Linked DNA regions of Lytechinus pictus. The protein of the gene in region 1 purifies or fractionates together with the protein of each later gene. This does not show direct contact. Links are inferred from orthologs where the notes say so. Each region holds a gene or a part of one and is shown in the gene's direction. Other genes may lie near its edges.

Evidence for each region. Proteins that work in one complex are often made in the same cells at the same time.
Region 2: the proteins of DNA polymerase beta-like (region 1) and DNA ligase 3-like purify together in Homo sapiens (affinity purification with mass spectrometry; 3 studies listed by BioGRID and IntAct, counting the BioPlex papers as one, with this or other methods). This does not show direct contact. The link is inferred for Lytechinus pictus from reciprocal best matches to the Homo sapiens genes POLB and LIG3.

What each region holds. Positions count from the first base shown.
Region 1 is NC_087262.1:20,690,386-20,701,419, forward strand, and holds the start of DNA polymerase beta-like, read left to right. Parts: upstream 1-5,903; 5' UTR 5,904-6,097; coding exon 6,098-6,161; intron 6,162-11,034.
Region 2 is NC_087258.1:1,784,445-1,795,679, forward strand, and holds the start of DNA ligase 3-like, read left to right. Parts: upstream 1-5,735; 5' UTR 5,736-5,905; exon of another isoform or gene 5,906-6,209; intron 6,210-7,290; exon of another isoform or gene 7,291-8,684; 5' UTR 8,685-8,707; coding exon 8,708-9,278; intron 9,279-9,722; coding exon 9,723-9,839; intron 9,840-10,525; coding exon 10,526-10,768; intron 10,769-10,893; coding exon 10,894-11,000; intron 11,001-11,169; coding exon 11,170-11,235. UniProt on the Homo sapiens protein: Isoform 3 functions as a heterodimer with DNA-repair protein XRCC1 in the nucleus and can correct defective DNA strand-break repair and sister chromatid exchange following treatment with ionizing radiation and alkylating agents.

The sequences.
Region 1 (11,034 bases):
ATGAATACATACATACATATAGGCCTACATACACACATAGATACTTACATAGATAGATAGATAGATATAGATAAAACCATTACCATCACCATATTCGTCGAGCAATGCACCTATAACCGAGAAACAATAATCAACGTCCATGCATGATAAACAAACAAATCACTTTGAAAAAAAAAATGCACATTAGCCTAATCGAATTATTCAAAAGAATGAGGGAAACCAAAGAGGTTGGATTTGAAATTTAAAGGGGTACTCCAGGCTGAAAATTTGATCAGAGTCGGACAAGGAAAATATGGCATTTTAAAGATTTACATTATCCTGGTGTGAAACAGTTCTAGGCATGTCTTCATGATTAATGAGCATACTGATGATGTCGTATCCCCACTTGTTCTTTTGTATTTTATTATATGAAATTAGGTTTATTCATTATTTTCTTTCAAGAACCAAAAATATTGAAATAACAACTGATTAATTGCATTAGATATTCACTGCTGCAACTTATTTCATTACAAGGGAGACATAATAATTCACACATGTATGAAAAAATGAAACAATTATGATTTCATTGTATAACGTAAGAAAAGGGAAAGTGGTAATGTGACATCAGCCCATCTAATGAATACTCATAACGAGTAACGACTTGCCGACGTCTATAGCTGTTTTTACAATATATTGCTAAAGAAAAACTTAAAAATTCAAAAACTTCGCTATTTGTTATCAGATTTTGATGAAATGTTTAGCCTTTTGCTACGTGAATTTTATGTATTTATAGATATAAATATTTTCAGCCCGGATCCTCCCTTCGCATCCTTTTAAGGTAATTTACTTTTATTTTTGGAATTGTTATGCTTTATAAATTATATCTTATCTCTATTGCCATTATCATCATTACCATCAGTAGCGTGAGCATCACCAATGATTGAATGGTATACACCAAATAAGTTACAATAAATACAAAGCTGTTTTACGGGCTCGGTGTAAAAATGGTAGAGGTAAAAATGGTAGAGGTAAAAATGGCAATGGTAAAAATGGCAGAGGTAGAAATGGCAGAGGTAAAAATGGCAGAGGTAGAAATGGCAGAGGTAAAAATGGCAAAGGTAAAAATGGCAAAGGTATAAATGGCAACGGTAAAAATGGTAGAGGTAATAATGGCAGAGGTAAAAATGGCTGAGGTAAAAATGACAGAGGTATTTGAAATGGCCAGTCTTAACCCCCATGCCAAAAAATAAAATAAAAAACCTCCATGTACAGTAAATTAAATAAGAAAGGTTCTTAGAAGAAAATAAGAATTATAATGTTGGACTAATGGAAAGGGTAACATTTTAAAATCATACTTTATATCTTCTGCACCAAATTGATAGCACTTGGGTTGGTATTTCTTTTATTTCCTGGACTTACATGCACGGCCTTCTCTAGTCAAATCGCTTTTATAATATTCAAATTTGAAGCACACTTTTGATCCCATGCAAGTATAATGCTTAAGGGGAAATTCACCCTGACATAAAGTTTATTGTAAAAATAACAGAAAATAATTAAAATGATATTGGTATGGTGAGGGTTTTAGGGAATCCATCAAAGATTTAAAAAGCTATTAGAATTTTATATTTTAATGGTGACGTCATTTGCGAGTAATTTTTCCCATATATGGTGTAATAAAGATGAAATGTCATTTTCTAAAAAAGAATAAAATGGTTTTTATATACCAAGTTATGTATTTCAACATATCATTTCACATCCGCTCCTGAAAGATATTTTTAGTGATCATGAACCACTGATTAAAATAGTGAAAAGTATACATTTTGGTGCACAGAATACGGGGCAGATACTCGTATATGACGTCACAGATCACTTAATTTTCTGCTAATTTTACAGTAAACTGTGATATCCCTGATTAGAAAGTAATGAAAAGTCTGAATGCAAAGACTATCACAAAGAACTGCCACATATTTTAGCCACGATTGTGTAACAGTGACGTTGTAATTGCAAACACACAAGTAAAGTTATGAAACTTAATATATTTCAAGCCTAGAACCAAGTTATTCAGTCGCGTGAACTATGAAGTGGCATGTCTGAGGAATGACTGATTATGATTTGGACTGATTCGAAGCTTAGATGTTAAATAAACCATTTGTCAGGGTGAACTTCCCCTTCAAAACACGTCGATAGAATGGTAGAAACGCCTATTTAAATCTCTGATTCGCTATACACATTTCCAAATTCATGCGGTAGCCATTACCATAGAAACTAGTTAAGGAACTTGACACTCTCTTGGACTAGCTGCAAAGAGGTATTGCTCTGAAAAACTTAACACTAATTGCTATTATTATATCATTTACATTAAACTATATACGTATCATATCAATTCTTTTCGGATCCATTATGATGTTGAAATATGAATAATCACCTTTATTACAGAACGTTTTGTTATTTTTCTGTTATCCAAGTTATGCAAGTGGTTCGAAGAAATCCCGAACTTGTCTATTTCAGTGTGTTAATGGTAGCGCACATAGGTGTTTACATTAAAATTCGTTTGGTATGTACCCGGGGTATGTATGTGTTGAAGTGCTGTTCTACTGTACGAACTGGCCAAGATAAATCCTTTAATCACTCACTAATTGAAATCATTTTGGTATGAAAATGTTTTGGTTCAATCCAATCATATCAACGATAAAGTCGGGGATAAAGTATTAACCTATATATGAAATGATGAAAAAAATCCAAATAATATGTTCATAATACTAATTTCGATAAGAGTCCATTCAAGGTCAATAATTATGACTGATATTAACTGGAAAGGCTCTGTCTTTTCCTTGTTGATGTAGCATGCTGTCATGATCTTAATCCCTGTCATTTTTGCCTCTGCCATCTTTTCCTCTGCCAGTTTTAATTATGTCATTTTACCTCTACCGTTATTACCTCCCCGGGGCAGTCATATTTATTGCTGTACACATGTGTGACCAAATTATTTCCAGACACCCCCTACACGAGTTTTCTTTGTGTGCAAGATAACCCCCTAAACAAGTTTTTGCGGGCTTCAACCCTAAACAAGTTGCCGCCAGAATATGACCCCTAAAAAAGTTTCACCATACGTTAACCCGTTTTTCAGGGCCGTTGCTTACAATCGGGAAGAACCCGAACACTTTTCAGAAACGAGGAGGAAAAGCTCGGCTAAAAAACATACCCTAAACACGTTTGGTCAGTCTTAAGAAAAGCTTTGGAAAAAATACCCTAAATACATTTGACCCCGTGATTGACCAGTCTTTCAAAACCACCCTTTTTGTTTAAAATCGGTGTTTTTTATACCCTTAACGAGTGCTCGCGCGGCCCGCGTCTAAAACTGATAAAAAACCTTTAAACGCGTTTTTTTTTTTGGTCACGCATGACTGGCCAACCCCCCCCCCCCCCGGATTACCTTTGCCATTCTCACTTGTCATTTTTGCCTCTTCCATTTTTACCTCTACCATTTTTGCCTCTGCCATTTTTACCTCTGCCATTTTTACCTCTACCATTTTTGCCTCTGCCATTTTTACCTCTGCCATTTTAACCTCTGCCATTTTTACCTCTGCCATTTTTACCTCTGCCATTATTACCTCTGCCATTTTTACCTGGCACCGTTTTCCGTGATTATTTCAATAGACTAGTCTATACAGGAAGAATCATTTTAATTTAGTGATGAAGATTTAAAAAAGGGTAAGGGGGCCTACATGTAAGAGATGCCCAGAGGTAAGAGAGGAAATAAAACAAGGGTCTAGAGCGAAATAAATTTAATTGCAGAGATACAAGAGACAGGTCCGCACTATAGAGGAAATGAAAGTGCAGAAAAGAATCAGAGAGAAAGAAAAAAGAAGGAGTCGGAATAAGAGAGAGGGGGAGGCCAACTTTAGTAATATGAGGGCTGGGAGAGATAAATCAGTAAAACAGAAAACAAATGGTTTGCAGGTCATTATTTTATTTTAAAAAATATTTTTGTATGAATCATTATTATATAGGACAGTGATATACATGTATTTCCAAATCAATGAAATCAGTAGCAATGCATGCATGGCAACACTCGGGGCGGCGGAACCGGGGGCACTTGCCCCCCTCCCCCCAAAAAAATCCCCTCAGGAAGATATGACCTTTTTTCAAAATGGAAAATGCCCTTTTTTTAATGAAATGTGCCTTTTTTTTAAATGAAATACCATTTTCGAAGTAAAACTTAAGGTTAGAAAATGACAAAATTTTTGGCTCGCGTTGCGCGCTCGCATCAATTACTGTTTAATAACTCATCATGTTTTTTATTACATAAATGCTAAGAATATCCAGTTTTCAGGTTGGAATAGCAAAAATTATCAGCTCGCGCTCGCTTTATTCGATTGGTGAATGCATGAGTCCCTACATGCAGTCATTAACAGGTTTCATTTTCTGGTCAGTTTATTAAAAATCTTTTTCATGTTTACAAAACTGCCGCGAAATACTGAGTGTCCAAAAGTTTGAGCTCGCGATTCGCGCTCGCAACATCTCCCAAGGATGCCGTTTTAACAGTGATTATCATTAGCGTCATAACTTAACAAAAGCGAGTTTTCAACTTCAGATTTGATTTTTTTCCAAACCACTCGCTCGCTGCACTCTCTCACGGAAATATAATAAAGCCTAAATATATATCTTATCAATCAGAAATTAATTCAAAAAAGCTTTGCTAAACTTTATTACTACTAATTACTCTTCTATGATAATATGATTATATCAGAAAGGCCATTGGCCTATGCTGGCTCCCATATTCTCATTTATTCTTTTGTTAAATGTATTTCTATTTTTGTATCTTTATTTGTATATAGTGCATTCTTTGATTTGTATGTTGTATGTTTTTTAATGAGAATTTGGAATAAATAAATGAAATGAAATGCTGATATCCGTAATTTGCATCAAAATGCCCATTTTAACATGCCCTTTTTTGGTTTTGCATCCCCCAAACGAAAATTCGTTCTGCCACCACTGGTAACATTTTTTATTTTAAATAATTCATGATAGTTATCTAATGAAAACCGAGAAACAATAATATGTATCCATGTACTTAATGATGATCCCTCTATTTTTAGATTATATTTTACAAAAGTATTATATTTCGTTAAAATTATGTTGTTAAATAAATGGGAATAGAGAACAATGGTAGACGTAGCTATAATCATGATTCCCCAGAGCTAACATCCCTTTTAGAAAATTTGGTGAGGTCGAAAGACTCGAATATATATCTATATAGAGAGAGAGAGAGAGAGAGAGAGAGAGAGAGAGGGGGGGGGGGAATTAAGCATGTGCAACAGCTTTGGCAACTCTTTTATTCAAATATTTTGTGAAAGAAATGGATGAAGAGAACAATGGTAGGCGAATGTTTAAGCTACGCCTCATTTCATTGAAATATATATATATATATACATATATATATATATATATATATATATATATATATATATATATATATATATATATATATATATATATATATATATATATATATATATATATATATAAGACATCAGAAATGCGAAAAAAATTCACGAGTAATGCAGTTTTTGAAGTGCCAACAGTTAAGTTCTTTAAGTTCTTTAAGTTCTTTAAGTTCTTTTAAGTTCTTTTAGTTCTCTCTCTCTCTCTCTCTCTCTATATATATATATATATATATATTTCAATGAAACTTGCTAATTCCATAGCTTATAATAATACCTTTTCAATCACTTTTTTTTCATGAATATGAGAACACAATGAAAAAAAGGAGAAATGTATATATAGGCCTAATATTCAAAATCACTGATGTGAGGCCACTTTTCAAAACCATAAATTATCCCGTAAATCATGTCCAATAAATTACAGAGGGTAAAAAAAATATATATATAAAATCTGCGTCCTTTTCTTTCCAACGTCCCGAAATTGCGAAAGAAACGTTCGGCGTTCCATATCATGTTGCAACACGTTTGTACATTTTCCTTTGTTTACCGTTGTTCACTTTAATATTTGTGACAGGATCGCGATCGAGGACTCTTCTTTGACTTGAACTTGTATTTCCGGATTTCCGTACGAACACTTTAACTCCTAAGAAGCCGGGTCAGAACGAAAATTCAAGATGAGCAAGAGAAAAGCACCAGATAGCAACAATCCTAACCAGGAATTTGTCGACTTTCTTGTCGGTAAGCTTAATTCGAGGTGTCCATCCAAGTCTTTTAATAATATTAATAGCTCCAGCTGCAGCGCGACCGGGGCAACGGCCCGGTATCGGCACCGTACGGCCATGACGGCGGAGGCTCGGAGCTGCAGTCGTGGCCTGTCTGCAGGCTAGAATCAAAACTGAATCTGTCCCAGCGTTGCATTGAATTGTTTCGCCCACTGTATGTTAAAGTGGCATGCCGTTAAAGTTGGGGATACAAATACGAAAATATTGTATTTACATAATAAAGATGATTAGGCCCTGGGGGGGGGGGGGGCACTCGGTATCCCTGATAGCAGAAACTGGTAAAAATGACGTCATAATTACGTCAGTTTAACGACGAGAGTCACGTCATTTTGACGTCGTATCATGACGTCTTATTGACGGGATCTTGCACCCGCGAATAACGTCATTATGACGTCGTATATTGACGTCATTATGACGTCTCCAAGAGTGACTACGACGTCTTAATGACGTCTTAGCAACGTTTTTACAACGTTTTCCTGACCAGTATCAAGGGTCAGAATGACGTCGTGTATTGACGTGATTATGACGTCTTCGAGAGTCAACAACGACGTCTTAATGACATCCGTGTAACGTGTTCCTGACCGGTTTTAGACGTCATATTGATGTAATTATGACGTCTTTAAAAGTCATCTACGACGTCTTAATGACAACTTTGCGACGTATTCCTGACCAGTTTTAGACGTCATATTGATGTAATTATGACGTGTTTATAAGTCAACTACGACGTCTGAATGACGACTTTGCAACATATTGCTGACTAGTAATAGACGTCATATTGACGTCGCATATTGAAATGAATATGACGTCTTTTGGAGTCAACTATGATATCTTAACGTATTCTGACGTGATAATGACCTAAACATTAAATTCTACATGCAATGTACATACACACATCACTTCAAAGACCTTGTCATTGAGGATTATCTATATTTGGTGAATACTGAGGTGGTCTGACAATGTCCAGCATTCCCAGTAACAATATAATGATCCTCCATGCCAGGGCCTTGCATAACTTGTCTCGGTCTCAAGAACATGACCCCCCCCCCCCCGAAAAAGAATATATACAAAAATGGAAAACGAAATCAAATACATGTACGCATTTCAATTACGAAATCGTGGCAAATATTCTATTAATAAATAAAAGTTGCATAACATATTACCAGCAAAAAAAAAGGAATACAAAATGTTGAAAACTCTAAATAGATTGAAAAAAAAAACACTTTTCTATGAAAATGCAGTATTAGGGTCAAAGGAATGAAATTACAATGTTTGTTATACCAATACATACAATTGTACATGTATAAATACACATTAATACATAACAGAGGCATAATGATCTCCAAGAATAAAGCTTTTTCGTTGAAATTGTAATTAAATATACCTTCAACTTTAGACAACTATGTAATGTAGGTAAAAATATACTGTATGTAAAAAAAAATACCCGAGTTGGAATAGTTTCAGGATTTATGGAAGCTCGCATTTGGGTGAAAGAATCATACATGTACATTAATTCTTATGAAATGTTTGGGTTGTATTACACTATCACTTAGGGCCAGGGGTAAAAGACAGTAGTTGCAGCAAACAATTATTTCTTCGGAAAGTCTCTTAAATTAAGGTTAATTGTCAAAATATTGTACATAATCTAGATCTGGGCCCTGTCTTACAAAGAGTTACGATTGATCCGATCAATCATAACTCTATGGAAATCCATCAGTGTCATAATTTTTTCTACGAAAAATTTGCACAATGTCCTTTGTATGCAAAGAGAAGCGCAGCGAATTTTTGAGAAAACAATGAATGCATGAACATACATCATAGCTAGAAAATATTTTGAACAAACATGCTTAATAGATGTTAACGTTGCTGACCGTCCATAGTTGCGATTGATCGGATCAATCATAACTCTTTGTAAGACGGGGCCCTGGTAAATTAATGTAAACTTGTATCTTTGTAAAATCATGAATTTTGATCTTAAAATCAATAATTCTGATGATCACTAACACAGAAAAGCATATGTGGGACAGGACAGTGTATTATGATTGATTTGAAAAATATCCGACATTTGATAGAATTACATGCTTATTTTGCTCATTTCTCAGCAATTACACATTTTCTTCCCGAGCTTTTTGGCACACATCTTTTATATATACATACACTTTGCTGGTAATTCTGTTGGATTCTGTTCGAACTCATTTTAAGATAGTTACTACTAGAGGTGCGCTATTAACTTAAGGCAACTATGCAATGTAGGACAAAATATACTGTATGTAAAAAAAAAAAATACCTGAGTTGCTAAGTTTTCAGGATTTATGGAAGCTTGCATTTGGGTGAAAGAATCATGCATCAATAAGTCTGATGAAAATAGTTTGTGGAACTGTTGTATTACACTATCACTTAGAAGGAAAAGACAGTAGTTGCAGCAAACAATTATTTCTTGAGAAAATCTATAAAATCAAAGTTCATTGTCAATATATTGTACATAATCTACATCTGGTACATTAATGTAAACTTGTATCTTTGTAAAATCATGAATTTTTTAACTTAAAATCGATAATTCTGATGATCGCTGTAAACACAGAAAAGCATATGTGGGACAGTGTATTATAATCGATTCGAAAAATATCTGACATTTGATAGAATTACATGCTTATTTTGCTCATTTCTCAGCAATTACACATTTTCTTCCCTACATGTAGCTACGTAGGCTTTTTATGTGAGCTGAGAGATTTCATACCAGATTTCCTTTGCTTGATAAAGTTCTTTAATATGATAGTCTGTGTATCAGCATAGCATGTGTTCAGTGTTTTGAACCCACTGGAAATTGTGCATCATATCTTTATGTATGGAAGTCATTTTGCGTCTGCGGTCTCCATGGTTTTGTCAGGATCTATGTGTTGACTAGACCAGTCCCATATTGATATTTTCATGCTGTGTCACTTTGGAAGGCCGTCTCTAATTGGTTGACTGGTGAGTTGGCAGATGCACAGCCCATCCCACTTTTCAATTATATCATTACGTAATCTCTAACATGTCTAAGATATCCACAAGATCAAGAGGCCGTTTGCACTCGGCTAACGCATGTACACAATCCTCTGCTTCATCATTAACTGGATCTAAACAAAGCCCAGCATACCTAGATCATATTGATACAGTCGTTCAAAGAGCGGTGGCCGTGGTAATGGAACGCGAGAGACAAAAACTCAATGATGACATGGATAAGCGCGAAAATAAATTGCGTGAAATTCTTGATGAAAAGCTCACTAGTCTACACGTTCTTGAAATATCTATCGATACTAAATTGAAGCAACTCCGTGATTTTGAAAAATCGGTTTCTGATAACATGACTAACACCATAATGCTTTGTCAAATAGGCTTGACCACATCGAGCAGTACTCCTGTCGCAATAATATCCGTATCCGTATGAGATTGTTCGAAATGTAGCAAAGCAGATTGGTATCGATCTTACTCCATGTGACATTGATCGATCCCATCACCTTTGCCGACCAACTAGCAGTCATGATGTTCAACCCAAAGGATCATACCCCGGCGTGGCCCTGTAATGCCAACTTAGCAGCTCCACCAATCAATGTGAAATTCACTTCATACAGGCTGAAACAAACGATGATGAAAAATAGAGGAAAATGAAAATGCTCAGGAACAGATGACTGGGTGCAGGCAGGCAAGGCAGTTCAGGTGGGATGAAAATTTATTGGCAGGACACCTTCCGTTTCAAATTACAGCATCTGCAAAAATAACAGAAGAGGAGAAACATAAAAACTTTTTCTACATAAACTATTTATTAATCTTCATTAAAAATTAGATGGTTTCAATATTAATTTCCAATTTATTTTAAATGATTAAAAAACGATGTGGGGTTTGTTACATATTTTATACTTCAAATATTAACATGTTAAGTCAAGTCGGGGGGGGGGGCATGATGCCCTCAAGACCTTTAACCATCTCTGTATAAGGAAGGGAATTTTAGAATCAATTTATTTGACACATAAAACATATTATTTTTTTATAATTACAATTTTAATTCATGCCTTTTTTATGTGTTTTAAATGGTTATGGGGTAACCAGGACTGTCAGGACCGAGAATTCGAACTTCGAGGCTGAAATACAGCCATTCCCTATGCCTGATTTGGCTTAAATTCAGGTCAAGGATCAATTAAATATATATTTTGAGAAAAAAAATCTGACAAATTTAGAGGTGGAATTAGTTTTCTGGCATCGCGAGATCGACCAATGCAAAATTTTATTAGCGCCAATTTACCATCTAAACTTGTCATTGAAATTAGAACGTCCAAACCGATCTAGTACCAGTACTAGCACAATGAATCAATCAGCTATGCATGTGCACCAATTCTGTATTTCTTGCATACGTACGTCACTCGAGTTATGGTTCATGTCATTGCGTTATATAGCGTAGGAATTGTAAGAAAGTGATCCTTCAAAATTTTTACCTTCCAACAATTAACATTTTTTAAGCCTTTGTATGCATTTAGAGTACAAAAGCTTACAAATTGGACAAATTAAATGTTTGCCCCAAAATTATTGTGGGAAGGGTGGATTTTCTAGGGAAATCCATCCTAGTGTACAAAGTTCTACAGGCAACAGAGACTTGTCTAGGCTCCGTGAATGAAAATACAATGAAAAAATATCACAGAGTCCTCGAAGTACAGTCAGGACCATTAACAGATTATAAGGTGCCCCGAGTTTGTGCACACCCAAATCTGCGTGATTCTGATAATAGAGGTTCCCAATGATCCCCCCCCAAAAAAAGGCTTGACATCTGAAATAGCCTTCTAACTTACCTACTGCCCGAT
Region 2 (11,235 bases), on another chromosome or scaffold:
CTCTATTAGGTCAGTATAACTGGCAACTGAGCGCGCTCACTAGCGCACTCACTCAGCAGTGATTCAAAATTTTTGCTGGTGCCCCCCCCCCCCCATGCCGTGACCCACGGTACGCCACTGTGGACATATCAATGGCAATTCCTTGCATATCTAAAAACATGATTGCAAAAAAAATGCCAAAATATTTCAGTCACCCCCCCCCCCACCCATCAACACGGATTTACGCCAGTGCTGAAAATATACCCCAAAACATCTCTTTTTGCTCATTCTAATCATATGACAAACGATTCATCAATGATATAATGTTGTGAAACATCTGTACTTGTCCTCTCATAAAGAGAACACCTCACCTTGTGATAGACTCTATAAAAGTGAGAATATAAGTGAAATAAGTACTAAAGTAATGAGGGAGTTGTACGTGTGTGACATCACAGATCTTGGTCGCATTGCCAATGGGAGGATCTACATGGCATAAGTGATCTCAATATCCAAATGCTCATAACTTTCTTATTATTCATGAATCTTCCTCAAACTTTCAACAATATGTTTCTTTGATTTTTCTCTTTGATATGGATTCAGCTGGTTTCAAGGCTTTCATTCTCCTTTAAATTATCCGCTTCTCAGATTGGAATATAAAAATTTTCAGCTCGCGTCATTTCTGTCAGTAGCAAAACCCCATACTTTTCATGATTAAATAGGTGAATAGAATGTCCCTTTTTCAGGACTAAACGTCAAAAGAACTCCCGCTTCGATTTGCAATAATCTTTTCCTGGATATAATCTTGTTCTTTATTATACAAACATCCATTAAACTGTCATTTTTTTTTCGCTTCGCACTCGCATCTATTGTTTTTTTTAGATACCCATCTTAATCATTGGTACCAAAAATGCATAGAATATCAAGCTTTCTGGTCAGAATATAAAGAAATTTCAGCTCGCCCTCGGCACTCGCATTATCTGTGTAGTGAGATATGTATATCCTCCTCATGAGTTACTACAAACAGTCCTAAACAGGCACCTTTTTCCTGTTTTCAGGTCAGTAAAAAATTTCAGCTCGCGCTTCGCGCTCGCATTAATTTGTTGGTGAGATATGTGTTTCTATCTCATGAGTCATATAAATATATATATATATGCATATGTGTGTGTGTGTTTGTGTGAATTTGTTTGTTTTGTGTGATATCGAGCGCCTTTGGAAAGTTGATTCATGATTTTGCCCCTCAAATCTTAAAAAAAGGATCGACGCCCCCGTGTATATATATATATATATATATATATATATACATATAGTAAAAAAGCTTGTATTTCTATTAATATACAAATGTATTGGCCTCATCGCAATAAAAGGGTTAATACACGAGATTTTGAAATCGCACATAACATGCATGATAATTTGTGTTACTTTTTGCTTGTTTCTTTCTTTAATTAAGTTTTTCAATCTCTCTCTATATAATTATGTTTTAGAAAGATTATATTTTTAAATTGATGTATATTTCTGTTATAATGAGATATGTTTAAGTGGAATTCAGGGAATGGTCGTACGCAGCAAGGGAGAAGGGGGGGAGGGCACATTCGCGATCTGCTGTTGTGAAAAACGATTTTTTTTTCCCCCTTAACATTTCATGAAAACTATGAAAAATGTGCAAATGTGAGATGTACGTGCACCAAATTTTCGAGTCTTGCCCCCCCCCCTGGAAATATTATCTGCGTATGGTCATGCAAAATGACATGACTGGAAATCCTATACATTTTGAAAAGAGCATTATTTTGACAGGGTCAGACTTTACCCCTTTCGGGCGCCGGTGAAGTGCGCCGCGCGCTCGGCATGCAGTGCGCCCCCCCCCCCTTTCGCCAAAAGCTGGATCCGCCTATGAATCTAACACTGATTCTAGGGAGGGCACCTACCCACTGGGCATTTTACCCGATATTACCCGGGTTGTAACAGGTAATAACGTAGTTATTACCACGGTAACACCAGTGGGTAGTAACGGGGAAATAGTAGACCAATCTTTCCCCGTTATTACCCGGACCCGATATTACTCAATTTACCCAATATTACCCAGTATGATGTAACCGATATTTCCAGTTATTTTAATGATATCACCACCTCATATTACTCTGTTTACCCAATATTACCCAATTAATGTCGGCTCATTAAAAAAACAATTAGTGTCATTAGGGTCATTGAAGCACATTTTTACAACTCCATACTCTAAGCCATATCATCTTATCCTATCCTAAAATCCTACATCCTAATCCTAATCCTATCCTACACCTATCCACCAAACCCTGTCATTTACTTCTATATATTGAGCGAGTTTACAACACTTGACAAATTATGGTTAACAATTATTCAACCCTAAAACATTTTTCTAAAATTAATGTCATGATTATGACTAATATGATATATAAACTACACATTTTTCTGAAAATTTTCTGGGTGGAATAATTGCATAAACATATTAATTATTACAGCTATATTAGCTAAAATTTTGGCCATTTATTGTAGTAATGAATATTCATGAGTAACTAATATTCCCAGCATTTTCCTGATTTTACCATCTGATATTACTCCATTTACCCAATATTAATGGGTTCCGCATGGGTTGGAGGTCTCGTTTCCATCTGAGTCCTATCTGGGCACCAGTGGCGTACCGTGGGTCACGGCATTGGGGGGGCACCAGCAAAAAATTAAGTCACTTAGTTGTCAGGTACTCTGACCTAATAGAGACATTTTGAGGAAGCACTTGTAGTCATTGTAATCATGAATAACATACGCATCTCAGCAATCAAATAATGCGAGCGCGAAGCGCGAGCTGAAAATTTTTGATATTCAGACCTAAAAAGGGACTTAACAATCGAATTTTTGTGATCATGATACGTACCTGTCTCGCTAAACAATGCGAGCGCGAAGCGCGAGCCGAAAATTTTTGTATATATTGATCACAAACAGGGAGATCTTAAGGACTATATTTTAGGAATCTCTTAATATTATACATATCTCACCATAGTCATCTAATGCGAGTGCCAAGCGCTTGCTGATTTTGTTAGAATTACATTTAAACACATATGAAACACTTGTAGTCATTGTAATAATGAATAACATAGGCATCTCACTAATCAAATATTGCGAGTGCGAAGCGCGAGCTAAAAAATTAGGAATTTCAAACATGAAGAGGGGCAATTTAAGGCTTGTTTGTAGGAATTAGCGAAACCATACGTACTTCAATAACCAAATGATGCGAGCGCGAAGCACGAGCTGAAATTTGTGTATATATTGACCCAAAACAGGATTTTTTTAAAGGAACCCATTAAGAGTATACATATTTCACTACAGTCATGTAATGCGAGTGCCAGGTGCTTGCTGATTTTGTTAGAATCACATCTGAACACATGAAGCACTTTTTGTAGTCAATGTAATCATGATTATCATACGCATCTCACTAATCAAATATTGCGAGCGCGAAGCGCGAGCTGAAAATTTAGATAATTCAGACCTGAAGCGGGGCAGTCTAAGGCTTGTTTGTAGGAATTCACGAAGACCATACGTATTTCACTAACCAACTGATGCGAGCGCGAAGCGCGAGCTGAAAATTTTGGATATTTAGACTCATGCAGAAAAAGGGATATTTCAAGGACTGATTTTAGGAATTCATGGAGAGCAGACATATCTCACCAATCCACTGAAGCGAACGTAATCACGGACAGGAAATGTTTTATATTAAGACCTTAACATGGGGCAATCACTTTAAGTAGTCATGAAAAAGAACCATATGTCACTATATAAAACAATAATATATTTGGTGTATATTGACTTGAAAACGGGAGGTTTTCGTACAACAGGTTTATATATCTCTTTAAACAGACAATGCGAGCACCAGGAACAGTGAAGACATGGACCCTGAGCAAATTATGTTTCATAAAGTTATGATAAAAATGTTTCCTATGTAAAATAACAACATGATTGTAATACAATATACAATTATAATGAATAATAATTTCTTCTTTCCCACTACGTTCCTCTTCCTTTCTCCCTCTTTTTCTCCTTTTCCCCGTTTTTTTTTTTTGTGTGTCAGCCGATTGGGGGGGGGGGGGGGCACGTGCCCCCCCATGCCCCCCCGTAGTTACGCCACTGTTGGGCACCATGTGGGTTCAAGTATATGTTTTCATCTGGGTTCCATGTGGGCCCATATGGGACCCAGATATCCCAGATAAGAACCGTATGTGATCCAGATACTTTGCTGTCTGGGAATGGAAGCGTTTCAACATTACCCATTACCCCTTATCAACCTGTTTGTAACTGGGTAAAATGTTGGTTTCATCAGGGTGATAACAGTAATTTTTTGGACTTTGAAAATTTCGCTGGGATTGCTGTAAGATTGCTCTTATTACTAAAGTTTGCAATGTTATAACCAATCAAAGTTTGTTGTTGTTGTTGTTATTTTAAATAGGCAAACTAGTCAGTTTTGACTATTGTTGCCTTGTAAATTTGCTTTCCCTTTTTTTTTCAAAAAGAATAATTTCTTTGTTCAATCTATATCAGTTAAAAAAAGTAAAGGAAAGATAGGAAAGAAAAGTTCCTAGGAAATCGTGCAAGACCACCTCATTCAACATTACCCTTATTACCCCTCATCACCCTGTTGTAACTAGGTAAATGTAGGTTTCATCAGGGTGATAATTACAGTAACAGGTATCAACAGGAATTATAATTTCGGTAATAACATGGTAATAATTAACGGTAATATTTGGTGTTACTCAAATTTCCGGGTGATATTACCGGTAAAATTGGTAATCGGTAACAAATTGCCCAGTGGGTAGTACTGAACTTCTTTTTTTCCAAATTGGAAAGATATATAACCACTATGGAACTAAATTTTTACGGGCGGAAGAATTAGGGCCATTTGACTCTCGATCTCAAGTGATGAATTTGATCCCGTAGATCTTCATAAATGCTGATTTATTTTTAAAATGAGCCGGTCGAGGTACCCTTTTCTGGTCAGATATGGAATGTCAGACATTTATCCTATCCACTGATAGTAAACATTCAACCCTCGAATTTCCTCCTTATTTTTAAGGAATTCTTTTTAGGTACCACTTTAACACACGAGTCTATGGGGATTGAATTAGGCCTGTGATACCTTATGCCTAGCCTATCCACCCGGCCTTGACTCGGCTCATGTGTTGCTTAAGCCCGCGGTGCTAAAGAAACTTGCATGCAATCAGTTGCAAATTTTTGCTGCTAAATTAATCTACAATTGATAATGATATTATTTTAACTACTTGTTAAAAGAAGGAGATCAGCAATCAAGTGTGGATTCGCAATAATTGCCAGATTTATTAATTGTGACTGATTTTCTAACCAAAATTTGACTAGTAATTGATTGCAATTGATTAATACAACTTCCATGCAACGCATGGTAAGGTCTCGACGTATATTGGCAATTCATACAACATAGTCTGCAGACACAAACCCTTTGATTTCACAATTCGCATAGTGCATATATGCAATATGCATAGTCTGAATTAGTGAGACTATATTCACTGAATACTATGGATGGCTCTACAAAGAGACAGAAAAAGAGTTTGAAGTTTATAGGCTTCACCTCAGCTTCACTCTAGACATGATTATTCAAATAGGAGTCTGTGTTTGCAGACTAAATGCAACACACGCAGCTGGCTGGTACACGCAAAGGGTACACGTCCAAACACCAACGCGAAAACGCATTTAGCGATTACGTTATTGTTTTGGGCATGATTGGACAAGTAGTGGTGTATCATCGCACCATGCATCATTGACTGAACTCTCGGAGTGAACTATAAATCTAACTGCTTTCCTGGAGTAAAGATCAGTTTTACATGGACTTCAGCCGTGCCGATTTCTGGAGTGTTCAGTGTTTTCCATCATTAATGTAAGGATTTTCCTCCTCAGAAAATGCAAGAGGTGAAGAGTGTGCTTTCTGATCTGGTACTCGGTGCTTGCCGCCTATGCAATAAAAAGTGGATGCCGGTTTAATTACCGGCATGTGCGATTTATTTTGCACGCAAGTGAATGGCCAATCTCACGTTTCCTTGAGCTTGAGTTGAGAGCTGAATGTTTAATGTTTTCAAAAACGGCATGAATGATTTTTTTTACTATATATTTTCAATATGTTTAAGTGTAATGCAAAGATGTGACTCTGACCGTGATATGGTGTTTGTATTTGTAATTGTATTGTAATTAAGAGTAGGCCTAGGGTGTCTGGAGAAAAATATTATTTTTCTTATTTCAAGAAAATATCACATTTTCTTTGTGAATTTGAAGAGAAATGACCTTCAGACTGACAGAAATGTAACATTTTTGAAAAAAATCTGATTATTGGCTGCAAAAAAGAAGAATGAAATTAGGTCAATTTTCAGCATTTCTCTGCCATACTGTGTAGTTAAGAAATGGACACACACAAATCCAAATTTTTAGCTTCCGAGAGCTGTTATAAATTTATTATTAATGCCAAAAACTTGTCCATAAAGAGTCCAATAGGATTTTTATGCTCTTTCTGATGGTATGATTTTTATAAAGATTTGGAAACCAGATCACAATGAAAAATTGCGACAAAGTGAAAAAATTGTGCAAAACAGAAATTTCATTTTCCCATAGAAAACGCATGGGGAAATGGCAATCTCAACACACACAAAAATAAGGGTTTGCAATTTATCTCTAAATCCTTATTCAAAATGATCATATAAACTTGTCCTTACTGTCAAAAGAAGCCCCTGAATTTTCTCTTTCCATACATGCCAAACACAAGTTAATAATCAATTCAGATCACATTTTTCTAGTAGCCTGAACTTCCCGAAAAAAATGTTCCATATTTTCCCCTAAATCAGCCTGTCTTATGCTGACACTTTTCAGTGTGGCTTCAGACACCCTATTAAGAGTTAAGACAGGGAGGCGGTGTAGCTCAGTCGGTTAGAGCGCCTGTTCCGGATAAGATCGTAGATCTCAACGTGCGTGGGTTCGAGTCCCGCAGCATGCCGGAAGACGTCTAACAAAAAAACTGATGCTAGCGTTGTGTGTTAACGTGCCTCGCCGCTGTGTTCAGTGCGGGTGTGAATGCAGTTGGAAAACACTCCGTCCATCGGAAAGGACGCAAATGTTGGTCCCGTGTATAGGAGAGTCACAACCTATGCACGTTAAAACCAATATACACTATTCGTCAAAGAGTAGGGTGTTCACCCGGTGTATTGCACCTGCCGGTCCCCGGTACTACAATACTGCAAGAATCTCCAGGATTGAAGGAGGCAGTGTAGCTTGAAGAAGAAGAAGAAGAAGACGACAAAAAAAGTGCCGGGCCGGCTGCAAAGAAAAGTCACACTCACAGCTGACATCGACAGAGTGCAGTGTAACTTTTGACTAACTTAGTATTAGATAAGTAATGTTGTTAAAATTGAGTTTGATCGATAGCATGCCAATTTCACTTTGAACACTGAATGAATGACTGATTAGTGTCTTTTTTAGTGATTACACGATCGCCATGAAAATTTGCAAGGGTGTAGATCTAATGTCGGATGTTGACTACAAAAAAGTACAAGAGTCAAGACAATGATAAATTTAAAAATAATTTTGTAAAAAATTGTATATTTTTTAATTAATTTTTTTTTAATTCTATGCAAATAAAAGCATATGAAAATCACATTTGCCTTTTTTAATTTTAGCTCACTTTAAATTTCTCATTTTGCTAGTAATACTAATTTTTGGTGAAAAAGATTAATTTTGACATTTAATATTTAACATAAGATAAAAAAAAATGACAACATAATTTCCTTTTAATTTCTTTTGTTCAAGTTCAATTTATTTATTTTCTCACCAATATAAAAAACAATATGCAAATATGTATAAAGAATGAAAATTACATGTATGAGAGAAAAACGGAAACTACTGAAAAGTTCATAAGAACTTGTGAGCTGTAGCTCCCAGTTAATTTCTTTTGTATTTCTTAACTTAGTTTTTAAAAGCTTACCAACAAAATAATTACCTAGCACATTTTCTACCTTTGAGTTCTCAACACTAAGTGTCTACTGAGCTGAGGAGGCTACTAGGGCATGAAACAGGCTCACAACGAACAACAACAACAAAAGATTGAAAGTGGGCGCAGTGACCATTAGTAGATAGAGACCAGTCCTAGGGCCTACATATAAAGTTCTTTATCTTTATTTTATTTCGGCATCTGGAATAATGCTGCCTGAGATACATCATCTACAGATATAGGCTATGACATCTACATGTACATATGTTTTTAACTTATGAATAAATATACATTGCAGGCTGTGAGATCTATATTTGTGAACTTACGCCTACTTTAGCGAAGACCATTATTTTTGCCTAATCTGCTTATAGACTAACCTATCCCCCCCACCAAAATAAAAAAATTACAAAATTACAAAAATTCACCATCTAACTTAGTAACATGTGTTTTTATTTCATGGCATTCACACGATAACAGTATTAGGACATAGTCCTACATATTCATAAATACATGTAGTAAACTGGAGGAACCAACACTTTCAAGAGAGTTTACCAAATAAAATGGGCTTTTATAGGAGAATAGGCATGTGTGTAATGGTGATGATTTATCATTTTGATAGGGAGTTGGAGGAATAAGAAGAAGGTTTGGTAACTATCTTATGTTTTTTATTTCTCTTTGATCACAGTGATATTCAGGTGATGTGGATCTATGAGATCTAAGGTTTACACCGCATTCCATCGTGGTTGGACTGCATTAAAAGGAGCTTCTGCAAGGCATGGTCAGCAACATCTAGTTTATCACACCTCGGTGTCATTCACTGTTGATCTTCAACTAACATATGACACTTGCTCCTGTAGACAACCTGAATTTCCAAAGTCCTATCGAAGCAGTGCACTTTCATTCAAATTCATAAGAGAAGCAGAACGAATCCTAGGTCTGATTGGTTCCTCTTCAAGGGTTAGTACTCTTTTGTCAAAGACAGCTTCAGGAATGGATGATGAGAAAGCCTTCATGGTTGACTATGCCCGCCTTGGGACATCAAAATGCAAGCGATGCAAGCAGGGGATCGAGAAGAAGTCACCCAGGATTGCCAAACTCACAGCAAATCCTTTCAGTGACGATGGGGGCATGATGAAGAACTATTTCCACATCAACTGTGTGTTTGAGACGTTTGTTCGGGCGAGGGCGACAACGAAGAAGATTGAGGATCCAAGCGACTTGGATGGTTTTGAGAAGATGGAGGACGAGGAGAAGAAATTAATCCGAAAGAACATAGAAGGTGAGAATGTCACGTTTACTTTGACATGTTTCTGAAATCTGAAAAATATAAGTTGTTCATACATGTAGTTAGTTACAGACATTGAATTTTTGTCAGCTACTTAAATGCGTTTTAGTTTATTCCCCCTTTTTTGCCTATTGCTTATATTATCTTCTGGCCGTTGAAACATCATCCCGCCATTTCCAGCACCTTTCATTATTGATCTTAATGAGAATGTTCAATGTATTTGTGCAGTTGAAACCTGAGAATATTTGTGAATTTGGAATCTGGCCATATTTCCTCATGTAGGCAGTCTTCCCCTCCCTTTGTCTTTGTTCTTCCTTTTCTCACTCATTGTCATTTTACTGTTTTCTTGTTTTCTTCTTCCTTTACCCTAGTTTCATGATTTTAATAAACAATCATTTAAATGTACTTTTTTTGTTTTCTGGATCTTTTCATACACAGAGCTATTGTCCAGAGTCAAAACGCCCAAGAAAACGCCAACCAAGAAGAAAGGCACAGTTCAAGGTGTCCTTACAACAGGCGGTCAAGTTTTATCCCCATCCAAACATCCAAAATCAAGTAAGTCTGTAAGGAAATGTGAAATGATTCTTACTAGATTCTGAAGAAGCAGGTCTTGTGAAAGCAATTTGTATAAGGGAGGAATGTTGGCTAGATATAAAAATATTTCAGTCACATAATGTAAAAAAATGGCTTTTAAGAGGGAAATGAAGAATATGGGCTGAAAGAAAAATCAGAAGATCTAGGTACCGGCATATTTAATGTTACCAAACAGGAAGTAATCCTTGAATGTTATCACAACATTCAAGGAAGTGTTTTTGAATTGGATTGAATTGCAAAATATGAATAATAGTCTTTGCATTGAAGCTAATTTGAACAAGCCCCTCCTGCAAGAATTTATCCCATCGATAAATGTGCTATCAGTGGTTGGTAAACTATTATTGCAACTACATTTGCAACAAAGCTGAACAGTCAGTCTAAATCAAGATTTCACTTGAAGATATTGTAAGTTATATGCTGATCTGTTTCTTGTTTGACAAATTTGAAGGACTTGATAGGCGAAAGGCCCAACTGCACAAGATGGGACGATTGAGGGTGAAGTTGTAGTGATGATGATTATGTTGATGGTGATGATGATGATGGTGATGGTGATGATGATGATGATGATGATGGTGATGATAAAGATAATCATGATTATGATTATGATAATAATCTGAACTCTTTCATCAATTCTTTTGTGATTACAGGTACTAGCCAGCCCGCATCCTCTCACCACACCTCATCGAGTTCTGCTGCAGCATCCTCCTCCTCTGCCACCCCATCACCAACCCCCTCCAAAATCTCTTACCAAGGGGACGGCAGTGACCCCCAACATCCAGACAATTCATTCCGAGAGTACCGCAAGCTCTGTGCCAATATTGCAGACCAGGCTGGCCACCATGCGAAGACCAGAGTCGTTGCTGGGTTTCTAAAGAGTGGCTCTGATGGACGTAAGTACAAGAGAGATGTGTGGAAAGATGTGATATGATAACTGGGCTTACTGTTCTTCCATCTCTGATTAACAGTTATTATTGCAGCTTGTCTACATTATGCTTTATTAATATTCTCATTACAGAATCCTTTCAAGGTGATACTTACCTTGTACTGAAGCTGCTCCTTCCTGGTGTAGTGAAGAGAGTCTACAACATCAACAGCAAACAACTGGTCAAGCTTTTTAGTCAGGTAAGATGTCATCTATTTTCGCCAAAGTTTTATGGGTTGACATGCTTAGTTGGACCCAGTGATATTACCTTTTCATTTATAATATTAAGATAAGACAATTTACTTTTGAGACTTGATAAAAGTATCCACATGAAAGTGTAACTATTACTTTTTGCCTTTGCTTCTTCAGATATTTGGAGCAGACTTGGATGACATGGTGACAGACCTGGAACAAGGAGATGTCTCTGAGACGGTG